Linked DNA regions of Ovis aries. The protein of the gene in region 2 purifies or fractionates together with the protein of the main gene of each other region. This does not show direct contact. Links are inferred from orthologs where the notes say so. Each region holds a gene or a part of one and is shown on either strand. Other genes may lie near its edges.

What was found. Proteins that work in one complex are often made in the same cells at the same time.
Region 1: the proteins of KBTBD8 (region 2) and PKN1 purify together in Homo sapiens (affinity purification with western blotting; 3 studies listed by BioGRID and IntAct, with this or other methods). This does not show direct contact. The link is inferred for Ovis aries from reciprocal best matches to the Homo sapiens genes KBTBD8 and PKN1.

The regions. Positions count from the first base shown.
Region 1 is NC_056058.1:9,642,763-9,646,417, reverse strand, and holds part of PKN1 (serine/threonine-protein kinase N1), read left to right. Parts: intron 1-1,213; coding exon 1,214-1,365; intron 1,366-3,488; coding exon 3,489-3,624; intron 3,625-3,655. UniProt on the Homo sapiens protein: PKC-related serine/threonine-protein kinase involved in various processes such as regulation of the intermediate filaments of the actin cytoskeleton, cell migration, tumor cell invasion and transcription regulation.
Region 2 is NC_056072.1:34,573,043-34,576,697, reverse strand, and holds part of KBTBD8 (kelch repeat and BTB domain-containing protein 8), read left to right. Parts: intron 1-2,594; coding exon 2,595-3,058; 3' UTR 3,059-3,655. UniProt on the Homo sapiens protein: Substrate-specific adapter of a BCR (BTB-CUL3-RBX1) E3 ubiquitin ligase complex that acts as a regulator of neural crest specification.

The DNA.
Region 1 (3,655 bases), on a different chromosome or scaffold from region 2:
TAAACAGTAGCAGCATTATTCTGTGAATACCCAGAGACGTCCATACTGCCAGCCAGTGCCCAGATAAATGCATACGCAATCACACCAACACACACACAAAACCTGAGGACTCACACACGCTCACAGCAACACCCAGAGATTCAGACACACAGAGCCGCTGCCACAGGAGTTTACCAACCCATAAACAGCCTGATACTTAACACAGTCAACTGGACAAGACCTGAGACTCAGCATCACTTAGCCCAACACCCACACACCTCTTTGGTGTGTCAATAGCTGGAGGCTAACACTATCAGACGGAGAAGGCAATGGCACCCCACTCCAGTACTCTTGCCTGGAAAATCCTATGGATGGAGGAGCCTGGTAGGCTGCAGTCCATGAGGTCGCTAAGAGTCGGACACGACTGAGCGACTTCACTTTCACTTTTCACTTTCATGCCTTGGAGAAGGCAATGGCAACCCACTCCAGTGTTCTTGCCTGGAGAATCCCAGGGACGGAGGAGCCTGGTGGGCTGCCGTCTGTGGGGTCGCACAGAGTTGGACACGACTGAAGCAACTTAGCAGCAGCAGCAACACTATTGGATCAACACTTGAAGATAATGAAAGAGTTCAGCCAACGCTCAAAACCTCATCCTGTCACAGCTGTACCCAGAGTGCCTCTGATGGTCATACCACTCTCTGGAGATTGACACAGAGCTGTCCAGAGACATACATGTCCAGCTGTTCCAGCACTCGGATGCTGTCACACCAGCGCCAGGAGATCTGAATGCTCAGTTCTGCTGACAGTTGCAGACGTGCACAGAGCCATCCCCATCACCCAGAATCTCACAGAGGCATTCTAACACCTCACATCTCACAGTTACACTGGCACCTGGGGAGACACACTCAGTTATGCCAGCACCCTGAAGGTCACAGACTTAACCACAGCCACACCCGCTGACGCCTACACAGCCTTGCACATCTTTGGGGTGTATATACCTTCTCTACAAAGGTATACACGATCACACCAACGACTAACACACACCTGTGTTCATTCACACTGGTCCTGCCCCAGCCCTGAAAGGGTTTCCCTATGAGGGCTGGTGGGGAGTGGACCCTGTGGCCCCCAGCTCTTCCTCCTCACAGGCCTGGGGTGGATCCTCTCAGCTGGCGCAAAAGCACCTGGGCAGTTGGAGAGGAGGGCTGTGGTGACTTTGCCCCATCCACCCCTCCAGATGCCCCCCAGTCCCCTGGCACAGGTGACTCTGCCTGCTCAGCCACCAACTTGAGCCGCGTAGCCGGTCTGGAGAAGCAGCTGGCCATCGAGCTGAAGGTGAAGCAGGGGGCAGAGAACATGATCCAGACGTATAGCAACGGCAGCACCAAGGTGGGAGCAGCGTGCGTGCACACCCCTCCATGTGCATGTATACCTGTGGGCGCATCCCAGGCTGGAGCCTGTGGTGGGGGGCGGGGTGGTGCCTCCATCTGCCCCGCAGGAGGCTGGGGCACTCTGGGTTGGGGACAGAGGGCTGTGGAGTGACTCTGCAGCAGGATTGGAGTGTGGGCAGCTTGGGTGGGGGCAGAGAGGAAACTGGATGACTGTGGGTGATGTCAGATCAACACGTGGCAGAGACTCCCTCACCATACTCAGTAACCCCCGGAGACCGGGCAACATGCAGCCTCTCACTGCTGGTGGCGTCTCTGACGTACACACAGATCAACGCCCAGATGCACACATGTTACCATTTAGCGGCTCAGTCGTGTCTGACTCTGCAACTGTATGGCCTGTAGCCCACCAGGCTCCTCTGTCCATAGGATTTTTTAGGCAAGAATACTGGAGTGGGTTGTCATTTCCTCCTCCAGGGGATCTTCCCAACCCAGGAATTGAACTCATGTCTCCTGCGTTGATGGGCGGGTTCTTTACCACTGAGCCACCAGAGAAGCGCAGATGTGTATACTATCATCATGATATCTAGAGACACACCCATGGTCATAACAGCTTCTAGAGATACACAGTGGCATATCACCACTGAGACACACACACACACCGTCGTAACACCTAGATTCACAGCAGTAACACGTGGAGGAAGACCACCACAGTCACCTCTAGACATGGAGAGATGCTCACCATCATAGAACACCCAGGACACACAGCACAGGCCAACAGGACACCTAGACGCACAGACACACACATCTTCAGTTTCGCACACCCAGAGATCGGATTTGTCACACAGACGTGCCCCCAGTTGTACCAACACCAAGTACACAGTCACAGGTTGGCAGCAACACCCAGAGACACTGACACCCACGGGCAGAGTTCGACCTACAGCTAGAGACCCAGGGAGCATCCCCGCCTGTGAGTGCACACACAAACGTGAATATTGCACAGCACACAGACCATGAAGAACTTGTCTTAACCTTTTATTGAGGTGTAACAGATGGACGTCAAGTGCAGAAAACCTAAGTGTACAGCCAGTGAATTTCTGTCTAGCTACCCACCGCCCTTACCGAACCTTTCCTGTCACCCAGAAGTGCCCTCCTGCCCCCTTCAGTCAGTACCCAGTCTTCTTTCGTCACAGATTGGCTGTGCCTGGCTTTCTTAGAATGTATTTTACCTGTTTTTATTTTTGGCTGCTCTGGGACTTCATTGCTGTGCTCAGGCTCTCTGTAGCTGTGGAGCGTAGGGGCCACTCTCTAGCTGCAGGGCATGGGCTTCCCATTGCAGTGGCTTCTCTTGTCATGGAGCACAGCCTCTAGGGTGTGCCGGCTCAGTAGTTGTGGCACATGGGCTTAGTTGCCCTGCTGCATGTGGAATCGTCCCGGACCAGGGATCGAACCTGTGTCCCTTGCATTGGCAGGTGGATTCTTAACCACTGGGCCACCAGGGAAGTCTGTCAGTGCCTGGTTTTGAACAGAGCACCAAGTCAATGGAAAAATCCACCACCAGTTCCTGGCACTTATACACACATACCGTCCTTGGCTATGCCCAGTTAACCCTGTAGCTTGAACTGCATACACCAAGAGCAGGACCCTGCTTCCTACAACTGCCTACAACTGTCTGACACCTAGTCACCCCTGGACTCACCCATGTGGCTACAGGCAAGGCTACGCCCACCATGGGGAACACTCACACACATACGCCATTCTAACAGCTGACATGAATACAATGCCTGCTGGTGCCAGGCACAGTTCTGAGCCCTACACACAGATTACCTCCTTTAATCCTCAGCCCAGTGGTGGTTGGTGCTGTTAGAACACTCCCCTTCCCGCAGATGAGCAGATGGACCCAGAGCGGTTGAGCAGCTTGTCCAGAGTCACACAGCTGTTAGGTGGCAGCTGTCAGGATTCACATGCCACAGGCTCCATCTCCCTTCAACGCCCAGGAACACATTCTGTCATACCCACACATGAATGCTCGGTCACCCAGAGCCTGCCTGGGGTGGGCACCAGGACGGGTGGTCAGACTCCCACCTGCCCAGCCTTCCCCTCACGGCCTGTCTCTGCCATCAGGACCGGAAGCTGCTGCTGACGGCGCAGCAGATGCTGCAAGACAGTAAGACCAAGATAGATATCATCCGCATGCAGCTGCGCCGGGCACTGCAGGCCTGCCAGCTGGAGAGCCAGGCGGCCCCAGACGAGGCTCAAGGTGAGTCCCTCCCCGGAGACCGCCTCCCCTG
Region 2 (3,655 bases):
ATGTTCTTACTGTCTTTTGACATCATGTGACATAGTATTTTTGAAAACTTTTTTCCCCATAAATAATAGTTCAGCATTTGAGAAAAACTATTTCTGTTCCATTTTTAAGGCTTTAAACAAGGAATCAAGTTTGATATATAACTTTTTGCAGTTGAATGATATATAATCAAGGGACGGTAGCAAGTATTCTTCTTATGGAACTTACTGGATTAGTTTAAAAGAGAAAAAAAGAACAAAGCCTCAAATGCAGTTGTACTATTCAGTTGCCAAAGAATTTTGTATGAAGTCTTATGATGGCAAAGGTTATGAAACTCACTTACAAAGAGTTTGAAATCACACTGTTCAGGATTTTAATTTCACTGCAGTTAATGTTGTCATCCATAATACAGTGTTTTTAATTTTTTTTCACTGAAAAATTTTGAGATGTCATCTTTTTAACATTATAAGATGAGAGGGATGGTAATATACTTAGCTTAAAAATTTTTGTGTAAACAATTGAAAACTGGTACCTTGGTAAAGATACCAGAAAAAGGAACTGAGTAGCAGTAAATAAGATACTTGATCCAAGGTTCTGATTTGTGCTAATATTTTCCTTGTGTTTGGTTTCTTATTTTAGTTGCTTGAATACCGAATACAGTATTGACAATACCAACATCCTTCTTCTTTTGCATTTCTTAACTGCTTATAGATAAATGCTTTCCTTCACTGCTATTAAAAAAATAAGGAAAGGGGTGCAAGTTCTGTGTAGATACATATGATTTTTTAGTTTTTTTCCCCACTGTAAGTTTTTTTTTTTTAATGTTCTTTGCTGTAATCCTTTATTTGACTTATAATTTCTTAGAAATGCCTAAACCCATTTGTTTAAACTTCAGTGTAAAGTTAATTCTCCAGAGAGAGTAAGGAATACTTTCTCGTGCCTCATTTTAGTTGAATGGAAGCCTGGGATGATGTAGGTTTGTTGGTCTTGCCAAAAAATGGAGTATCTGAATGGATGTAAAAATCTATAAAGAATGGTTAGATAGGGCTTCCTAGGGGGCTCCGGTGGTAAAGAATCTGCCTGCAGTCCTGGAGAGCCAGGTTCGATCCCTGGGTTGGGAAGATCCCCCGGAGAAGGGAATGGCTACCCACTCCAGTATTCTTGCCTGGAGAATTCCATGACCTGAGGAGCCTGGTGGGCTATAGTCCATGGGGCAAAGAGGTGGACACACTCAGGGAGTAACACTTTGACTTATATGGTTGGATAGGTTATATCATTCAATATGATGAAGCTCTCTCTGGCTAAGCAGTTATTTTTTAGTAGAGATAGAATTAATTAGAAGACTCCCAAATGGAATATAAAGGTTGTATATTAATTTAAATACTAAAGCAAAGTAACAGTGAATTAACAGATTTTCAGGGTTGGAATGAACATTATTTAATCAGACTGTATTTTATATAAGACAAATCTGAGGCACTGAGGGTTTTAATTGCCCATTACTGGTTTTAGTTTATTAAAGTCATCTTTAGGTTTAAAAATCAACTTTTAAAATGTATTATCTTTCCTTCTTATAAGAAATTTGTAGCTAAGTACTACAGGGTAAAAATGTGTTCATTCCTGTTTTCTTTATTACGAATCCTGTTACATTTTAGTCAAAAAGCATAGGGAATATGCAGGCAAAAGCTGAGAGTTTAACAAACTGTTTTATGAAAACCTGGATTTTTTCAGCATTACTTTTATTAGGTAGGCAGTTATATTTATCGATAGGAGTTAACCTAGTTCAAAACAGTTTTCAAGGGGAAGCTCAATTTAGAAGTAGGTACTTCTGATCTAAACAAAGCCTCTTTGTATAAATAAACTTGACATGACTAGTCAGAAGATCATGCCCTACTGTCAGTGGCTACTGGAGTACCATTTAATCTGATCATAAAGGGTTCAGATTTTCATATCAAAGATTTTATTTGATTCTTTCAAATCAAAGATTTTAATGTTATAATTAGCCAAGCTCTTGTAAATCTTTACTAGCTTAATTCTTTTCGACATTTTTACATCGGCAGTGTGACTCAGCACACCTTTTCATGGTCAAAACAGAATGGAAACGGCCTCATAGTCAATTCCCTAAATGATGTATGTGTTTTCTATCAGCTTAAGGCCATATTTTCTCCTCTTGATATTTGTCTTTGCCTTATAGCAACTCTAAAGTAAACACATTAGTGGCCCATAGAAATCTGAACAATTCTATGTACTACCTTATAGTTAAATAACTAGCACATAAATTTATAGTGGCTTATTCATGATTGAACCTATATTCATATTTTGATCTTACTGGCTAACCATTAGTAATAATACTTTTTATAAGAGCTGGCTTAAAATCAATTTTCTGAAACACCCAAATATTTGGATGGAGTAAATGAAACCAAGCTCTTAACCTTTGTACTGCCATCAAGCCAAAGTAACTTCTCACACTTACCAGTTTGAATGCCCCAAATCAGGTTGATTCTAATATTATGTTACGTTGTGCCATGGGATGTAGATGTTTTAAGCTATCTTATATTTAAATCTTCACATTCTTGTTTTCTTTTCTCTCTCTTTTTTTTTTCCCCTTTCTCTTTTTTAGGAGAGTTTTTCCTCTTCTATGAGCCTCAGAAAGACTACTGGGGTTTCTTAACCCCCATGACTGTGCCTAGAATCCAGGGCTTAGCAGCTGTATACAAGAACTCTATCTACTACATAGCTGGAACCTGTGGAAATCATCAGCGGATGTTTACTGTAGAAGCCTATGATATTGAGCTCAATAAGTGGACTCGTAAGAAGGACTTTCCATGTGATGAGTCCATAAACCCATACCTTAAACTGGTACTTTTCCAGAATAAGCTCCATTTATTTGTTCGAGCTACTCAAGTGACCGTTGAAGAACATGTCTTCAGAACCAGCAGAAAAAATTCCCTTTACCAGTATGATGATATCACTGACCAATGGATGAAAGTGTATGAGACCCCAGATCGCCTCTGGGACCTTGGCCGGCATTTTGAATGTGCTGTTGCTAAACTGTATCCTCAGTGTCTTCAGAAAGTACTTTAATGAATGGCAGGCCTTAGTGAGCTCACCGGCATCTTGTGCTGGAGGAAACTTAGTCTTTCAGTGATAAGAAGAAGTGCTGTCAGTATTTAAGAAAGCTGAAGAGAGTTTACACGTGGAGATGGGTGCTGTTTAAGATGAGTGTAGGGAGGGATTTCTTTTCATCCATGTGATGTTTTCATTTCAGTAAGCAAAAGGTAACAAAGTGCAATTATCAGCATTTTTTTTTTCTGGTATAAAAATAATCACATCATTCTAGAATTTCGTGATGAATAGTCACTGAGATACCAGACGAATTGACAACTATGCACTCTTAGAAGAGCAGTTAGGGTACTATGGATTAGAGACATCCAAAATAGTTTGATGTGACTTTTTATTTTAAATACGGGTAAAAATTTGAGGCAATATCACTAGGACTTTAGCTGTGACCTCTCTGCTACAGAGACGCACTAACTTAGATCCTCATTCTGAATATGTGTATATTTTGTGTACTGTTTTCACGTGTACTGGATTTAAATGTGTTATTAGAGTAGTTTGAAGGAAAAACAAATCAGTCTCAGAAAGAGCTTTTAGTTGGATTGTTTTATATTTCCCATGTTT